2 linked regions of the Oryctolagus cuniculus genome follow. The protein of the gene in region 2 purifies or fractionates together with the protein of the main gene of each other region. This does not show direct contact. Links are inferred from orthologs where the notes say so. Each region holds a gene or a part of one and is shown on either strand. Other genes may lie near its edges.

Region 1 (3,569 bases), about 30 Mb from region 2:
TGGCAGGACTCTGACGCCAGGACCCATGCCTCCCAGCTCGCTGTGCACAAACCCCGCGGTCCAGCCGTCCAGCCACCTCCTCCACTAAGCACTGATTCGCTGCGTACCCACTGCAGGCCCAACACTGCCCTCAGCTCGCGGGGTCCGAGAAGCGGCGGACAGAGCGCCGAGGAGCCAGGCCCGCGTGCCGCCCCGCCCCCTGCCGCCCCGCCCCCACTCACTTCTTCTTCTCCTCCTCGCTGGGTCTCTGGAGGCCCCCGTACAACTCGTCGATGTAGATCTGGTACAGGCACTGCTCCTCGGAGACTGCAGCGAGCAGAGGACCGAGTTGAGAGCGGGCTGGGGGCGCTCGTGGGTCACCAAAGTCTGTCGGGTGGCAGTGACGTCCTGGCCAACCACTGACTCCACCCGTGCCCACCCTCCTTTCCGGGCAGAGCGAGTGCCCTGTACTGGGCACTGCCACCGGCGCCGCCGTCAGGGAGGCCGTGCGCCAGAACCTCGAACGTGCTCTGAGTGCCGCCTGTCACTTGGACGCCACAGGCTGCTCCGTGAGTGCCTCGTGTGGTGAGGGATGAGCTGGGCTCCCTAAATTCCCACAACCACCCGGGCGAGCTCAACGCCGTGGCACGGCCTCCTCTGGCCTGGGGGGCTGTGAGAAGCGTGTCCCTGACGTCGGCTGGGACGCTGGTGAGCACCCTTCCCCCCAGGCCCTGGGCGTTCCTCTGGGACCTGAGGCAGCCGTGCTGGCCCGCTCAGGGATGCAGTCCTCCTGGCTTCCAGCCGCGCTGGCCCGCCCCACGCGCGCTCCCGGGCTCTCTGCCTTTGATCTGCCCTGTAGTGTGCTGGTCCCCCCTCCCCTCCCCCTCCCCCCAGCTACCCTCCAGACCCCAGCTGCGGTCACTATCTGTCGTGACACCACCTTGGCGTGTGATTGATTGCCATCGCTGGTGTGATTAGGTGGCCCTCCCCCGCAAAGCCCAGCCCCCAGGACGCTTCCTGACACACCAAGGGAGTGCTGCACGGCACGTGGGAGGGGACGCAGGACACAGACACCTGGCTCCACCACCAAGAACCGCTGCGGCCTTGAGTGACGACAAACTACAGCACTGTTCATGACCAGCTTCCCCTCGCCACGGCCTCACTGAGGGCTAGAATCTGGCCCTCTCTGATCTTAGAGACGCAAAAGCACCTATCCTAGAAACAAAACCAATCACAGCGCCACTGCAGCGGCCGCCGGGGTTCTACACGCCCCACCTCTCTGCACCCTGCCGAGGCCCAGGATAGAGCCAGCGGCCCCGGCGCCCGCAGGCAGTGCTGCTGCCTTGGCTCCCCACAGACGTCCTGAGAGGCGCCAGCCCCGTTCCTGAGTCGGGAGCTGCCGTCAGAGGACAGAGGGGCGGACCCCAGCTCCCGGGATGCTTTCAACCTCCACATCCTTATCTGCCAACGGGCCATCGCCCCCCCCCCCCCCCCGGCCGTGCAGGTGCAGGTGCAGGTGCAGTAGGGTAATACAGACAAGCCAGCCCTGGTGCGGCGTGGCCTGACATCCCTGCAGGAGGCCGGGCCGGGGGCGCTCTCTCTGAGCCCGCCCTGCTCACTGGGGGAGGGGGGGCATCGGCAAGGAGGCCAGGCCCGCGATGCTCACCAATGCTTAGCAAACTGCCAGACACGGTACAAACGTCCCGTTTGAAACCAGTGCTCGCTCAGAGCCGACAGTCTGGTCCGTGCCAGCAAGGGAAAATACGCAGAAAGAAAAAAAGGACGGGAACTCGAGGCCCTGCAGAGGGAGCCCCTGATAAAACGTCTTCCCACACTCACGGCGGTCTCTGGCGGCCGAGGGACCCCGCGCACGCCCGGCCCGCCCAGGCACTCACTGCCAGCGAAGTCGTTCTGCACCAGGCCTCGGTAGCGCTCGTAGTTGCACTTCCGCTCGTCTGACTCCTGCTCAGGGGAGCTTCAGGGGAGGTCAAGGCCTTGAGGTCAGAGGGAGGAGGTGACCGCACCCCACACCAACAGGAAACAGGATGAGGCAGCCGGGGAAGGCTCGGGCAGGGCGGGGGTGGGGGTCACCCTGAGCCTCAACTTCCCCAGTGGGAGGGGCGTCTTCCCCACCACACACACCTCCTTCCTAGGAAGGTGGCGGGCGGGCGGCCGGCAGAAAGAGGGCGAGGGCGGCAGGCGTGACGCCCGGCCCGGCATCCCGGGGGGCGGGGGCGGCTTACATGGTGGTGAGCAGAGGGGGCGTGTAGTCGGGGATGTGGTCCAGGTGGGCGCGGACATCGAAGCGGTCGATCATGTTGTTGGTGTCTCCCTGCCAGGGCATCCTGAAGCGGGCAGGGGTGGAGTGGGGGGTCAGAGCTCGGGGCCCCACTGCCCGGGACACAGAGTGCCTGTCCCCGCCACCACACTCGGGAGCCCCAGTTTCGGTCCCCCATGCTGAAGCCACAGCCTCCGGGCTGCAACAGGCCACCCGTCTGACAGCTCCTGGAGAGACCCGGGGCCCACCCCAGGGGCTACTGCTAGGAGCCCCCATCCTCCTGAAACTTCCTCCCGCCCTCTCTGGGTCACTGGCTTTGGCCCCGCCCATTCCCCTGGAGCTCCTCCAACCCAAGCCCTGCCCACCCACTCGGCTCAGCCTCTGTGCCCATCACCTTCACTGCAGGTCCAGCCTTCCTTACCTCTGGGCCCCAGGGTCCCTGCCCCAGGCCCACCCCCCCCACCCCCCCACCCCGGTCCTCCAAGTGCAGATGCCGCCACGCCCCCGGTGCCTCTCACATGTTAACGGGGCTCTCGGCAGCCAGGGCAACTGCAGAATCCAGGTGCACCTTGCACGCCCGGCCGTGCACCTGCAGGAACTGGGCTGGGTCCTTTTTCTGTGGGGGCGGACAGGATGGAGGTCACCATCCAACTGAGGGGCCAGCTTCACCCCCACCAAGCTTCACGGTGAGCTCCCCTCTGCCCTCAGGCGGGCACCCTGCACTCGCCAGCCAACGCAGGCAGCACAGCACCAGTGGGGCTAGCCCCAGGAGACGGAGACGAGGAGTCGCTTCCTCTCGGAGGCGGAGGCCCCGCGCTCAGCCCAGTGTCCCCACGGCCAGCACCGCGCCTCCCCACTACACCATCCTCTGGTCTCCGCTGCTGCCCCCACCGCCCCCGCCTCCTCTTCGGGCTGGATCAGCCACACAGCAAGGCTGCAAAGGCACAGGACGAGACGAGCAACCAGCAGCGCCCGGGAAACACCGTCCAGGACCACCAGACGCCACCGCCGCACCCCGACGATGACGACGGCGGAAACCGAACGGACAAACAGTAAGGACTGACAAGAATGTGGGAGACTGAGATCTCCAGCAAGTTAGACCAAGTGGTGAGTGTCCAGCCCAGTAAAGACCTGCCCAGGACGCCCGTGCCACACCCCGCAGCGGCTGGGTCTCAGTGCTGGCTCCGGCTCCTGGCCACAGTAGCGTGGCTGCTCAAGAAATTTTTTTTTTTTAAGATTTATTTATGTACTTGAAAAGCAGAGTTACAGAGAGGCAGAGGCGGGAGGGGAGGGGAAGGAAAGGTCTTCCATC
Region 2 (4,191 bases):
ACCACAGCAAGCGGCTACAGCAGGAGCTAATGATGCTCACGCTGTCTGGCGACAAAGGAATTTCTGTTCTCCCAGAGTCAGACAACCTTGGCAAGTGGACAGGAACCACCCATGGAGCAGCCGGCACAGCAGACCTGAGGGTGCAAGCTCTCGTGGAGTTCCCCAGTGGCTACCCTTAGAAGGCGCCCACGGCGAAGCTCCTCACGCCCTGCTACCACCCCAACGTGGACACGCAGGGGAACTCTGCCTGGACATCCCAAAGGACATGACATGAGGACCACCCTGCTCTCCATCCGGAGCCCGCTGGGCGAGCCCCACATCGACAGCCCTTCGAACACACACACCGCGGAGCTCTGGAGAAACCCCACGGCTTTTAAGAAGCACCTGCAAGGAACCCACCTGGAGCAGGTCTCCAGCCAAGCCCCTGGACCCGGCCGCCCAGCTCCCCCTGCGCTGTCGTCTCTCCTGGTTCCTCCTGAGACGTCTGTCCTGTTCCTGATCTCTGGACTGGACTCTCTCTTGAGCTGTGGTGTTATTTTTTTTTTTTAAATTAAATACATACATTTTGGTTGTTTTTGTAAAAACATTTTTCAATCCAGTCTGAATAAGAAGAGGAGAAACTGGTAACTTCTACTGTGAGGATTCTGCTTACAATTCCTTCATCAGGTTTCTGTTGCTGAAACGCCTGTTTAATTTACTCCCTGTCACCCTGCCCTTGCACATAACAGTGTTTTCACGCCTGTTTATGTCATCAGGGTACCGTCAGACCTCTAGTGGTGTTGTTAAGAGACAAGAAGCACCATGGTTACTTTGCTTCTAGATTCCGAGTGTAAACATGCTGACTAGTCAAAAAGCGCATGTGGAAAATAAGACCCAGCAGGTCAAGCACAGAAGGGCTCAAACTGGCAACCCCGGCACGTTCACCAATCCCAAGGGCTCCTACGTGGCATTCTTTCAGTGCTAGTAAGTCCCTGGCCTGCTCCGGAAACCTCTCCTCCTAGGTCAAGCCCCATTCTCTGTTTCAATTGCCTAATACTGATCTTCATATCAGAATGCAGTTGTGGAATTCAACTGGCACGCACGGCTGCTCTCTGCACGCCTTCCCATAGCCCCTGACTGACTCAGCAGGAGCTGAGAAGCCCTCGTCCCTGTGGAGTTCCCAGGTACACTCGCTCGGGGTTCTCTCAGCTTTATTCCATTGAGAACAAAACCTCAACACTAAAACTCTCGGGAACAGAGTGAAGAGTGAAACAGTGTCTTCCTGTGCTCTAGCTGTGGACAGTACAATCGTGCGAAAGCCGTGGGTCAGATTTTCCACAGCGGCAAAGGCCCGGCCTCCTGCTGTTCGGTCTTCCAACCGTCTTCAGCACACCGCACTAGGAACACAGCACCCTCCGAGCTGCCTCAGAGCAGGGCTGCGCGCGACGACGGGCAGAGGCTGTTCACGTCCCCCCAACCCTGGCCGCGGCCCAGAGCGCTCACCTGTGGCGACAGGACGTGAGATGCATCCCGGAATTCCTGGCTTCCTGACCACTACACTGCTGCTTTAGGCTGCTGCCCTGAATCGCTGCACAAACACCATTCAGCCTACTCCTCTGCCTCTCCCCTGAGGACAGTACCAAGGAACAGTCCTTAAGCCACCTGGCGCCCACACAAGGTGCCTTCCTGAACTTATATTCAATAAACGGTACGGGCTGACGGCCGAGAACTTTCATGACAAACGAAGAACCGAAGCCACGAGGTGCAGAGCAACGCAGAGCCAGCTGGATCTTACTTAGCCGCTCCTGGAGCCCCGGGACTGCCTAGTGGGTGCCTGACTTCAGACAACAGGCTGGCACCTGGATCCGAGCTCACTGATCCGGACAAGCCCTTGTCATCACCATGCAGTTTACCCCAAGCACAAACTGGGCAAGGAAGGCGCGGTACGGACCCCTGGTTACGCAGAGCGTGGAGCAGGTGCACAGGCCACGATTTCTAGCTCGTTTGGGATCAGCGGGAGAGACGGAGCAAATGAATGAAACCCAAGCACCCGGCGCCTCCACAAGGGAGACGCACGCGAACAAGGGCCCTGTGTCCAGCGCCGAGCACCGTGCCTGGCACCAAACAGCGTTATCAGTAAAACCTCGTGGAAGCCGCATCCTTTCCTCTTTCCAGCTCCAAAGCTCCCTCACGGAAGCTCACGCATTTCACGCTATGAGGCGGGCACCAGCGACCCCACCATACTGAGGGGGATCCGTGGCCCCCAAGGATTGGGCGAGTGAAGTTTTCGGCGAGGGCCCGCTGTCCCAGGTACGCTGCAGCCGCAGGACACGGCCTCTCCCGCCACGCCCACCGCACGTGCACCCACTCTGGGTCGGGGCACAGCAGCGGCTGCCCGCCCCGGGCCCTCGGCTGAGCGGGCGCGGCCCGGCTCCCCGCCCAGCTGTCCCCGCCGGCCCCTGACCTTTTTGTCCCAGATCTGCAGGGGTTTGCTGCCGATGCTGTAGAGGATGGAGAGGAAGCCGCTCTGGAACGTGTTTTTGAACATCTCGCCGGCGGCCTTCCCCTCCGCCGCCCGAAGCCAAACTAGGCCTCGGAGGTAGAGACGAGCGCTGAGTAGCCAAGGGAAAGCAGGGAGCCCGCCCTACTCCAAAGAGACGCTGAGCGCCCGCTCTCCCGACCTGCAGCCACCCACGGCTGAACAAGGACACACGATACTCCCACAACACCACCCCCACACGGAAACCACAGCAACCGCCGCCCGCGCCGCTTCCCAGGAATAAATGGAGGCGGAGGGCCGCTCGCCGCGGGAAATGAATCCCTCCGCCCAAGTGAGCCCGCCTCCCGGAAGCGCGAGACCCAATCCAGCCACAGGAATCACAAACTTCCGGTGCCTTCCTCCCTTAAACCCCGCCCTAGCCCCGCCCCTTTGATAAAAGAACTCCGTTGCCAAGGGACTATTTTTTTCCATCTTCGTTCCACAGCTGCTTTTACCGCGGAAAGAGACGGAAGATGAAAAAACTTGTTGTTAGCACCTGCGCGGTGTCAAGGGAACGTGGCTGCGGGCGAGGCGAGGGGCGCGAAGGGGAGAGGACTGAAACGAACTGCTCAGCGGGTGCTCACCTGGGTGACCTGGGAATGCCAAGTCCATGCCTGTTGACTAAGCACAGATTAAAGGCAGCAAGAGTGTGGAGAACTCAGTGCACTAAGCGCTTCTTACCCTTCAGTTCCTAAGAGCCGCAGTGCAGTCAAAACAATACTCTGAGGAAAATGGATGGCCTTAAATGTGATTAGAAAACATAACAGCCTGCACATTAAGATAAAAGCAGAAATTAAACAAAATGAAGTTAGTTGGTTGAATTGAACCAACGGCTAATGTTTTAAAGAAACAGTCAACACTTAGCAACATTTCAGAAAAGACATAAAATAAGCTGTGAGAATTTAAGTGTGGAAGGAATCTCAAAAGTTGGAGCCTTCCCCCGTTACTGAATATCTTTCTAAATATGATCTGGTGTGCCTAAGCCTGGGTTAGGTGGTGTGGCTAATGGAAAAGCGATTTATAGATAACACCATCATCGTTACGGCGGTTTTCTTTTTGTAATCAATTACAAGAGTAAATCCAGTATGAACTATGTGTCAGGCACTAAAATAAATGCCTTTGCCTTTATTATTAACTCTTTTAATCCTGAATAATCAAGCCAGAGTCTCCAGGCACAGGGGGGAAATATGTGAATCTTAAAAAAAAAAAAAAAGATTTATTTATTTATTTGAAAGGCAGAGTTACAGAGACAGAGGCAGAAAGAGAGAGAGAGAGAGAGAGAGAGAGAGAGAGAGAGAGAGAGAGAGGTCTTCCATGCGATAGTTCACTCCCCAGATGACCACAATGGCTGGAACTGCGCCGATCCGAAGCCAGGAGCTAGGAGCTTCCTCCGGGTCTCCCACGCCTGTGCAGGGACCCAAGCACTTGGGCCATCGTCTACTGCTTTGCCAGGCCACAGCAGAGAGCTGGATGGGAAGTGAAACAACAGCTGGACCTTGAACCAGCATCCATATGGGATGCCGGCACTGCAGGCGGTGGCTTTACCTGCCTACACCACAACGCCGGTCCCATGTGTGACTCTTACTAGAGAGACCAAAATGTGTATATAAAACCGAATTTTGGATATGGATTCAGTGAAATAACTCATAATCAGGAAATAATGAACTAATCGC

What was found. The genes of interacting proteins can lie anywhere in the genome.
Region 1: the proteins of CFAP20 (region 2) and CLASRP purify together in Homo sapiens (affinity purification with mass spectrometry; 3 studies listed by BioGRID and IntAct, counting the BioPlex papers as one, with this or other methods). This does not show direct contact. The link is inferred for Oryctolagus cuniculus from reciprocal best matches to the Homo sapiens genes CFAP20 and CLASRP.

The regions. Positions count from the first base shown.
Region 1 is NC_091449.1:11,670,422-11,673,990, forward strand, and holds part of CLASRP (CLK4-associating serine/arginine rich protein), read right to left. Parts: intron 2,874-3,569; coding exon 2,776-2,873; intron 2,325-2,775; coding exon 2,223-2,324; intron 1,955-2,222; coding exon 1,875-1,954; intron 307-1,874; coding exon 222-306; intron 1-221. UniProt on the Homo sapiens protein: Probably functions as an alternative splicing regulator. May regulate the mRNA splicing of genes such as CLK1. May act by regulating members of the CLK kinase family.
Region 2 is NC_091449.1:41,503,684-41,507,874, forward strand, and holds the start of CFAP20 (cilia- and flagella-associated protein 20), read right to left. Parts: upstream 2,834-4,191; 5' UTR 2,528-2,833; coding exon 2,444-2,527; intron 1,916-2,443; exon of another isoform or gene 1-1,915. UniProt on the Homo sapiens protein: Cilium- and flagellum-specific protein that plays a role in axonemal structure organization and motility. Microtubule inner protein (MIP) part of the dynein-decorated doublet microtubules (DMTs) in cilia axoneme, which is required for motile cilia beating.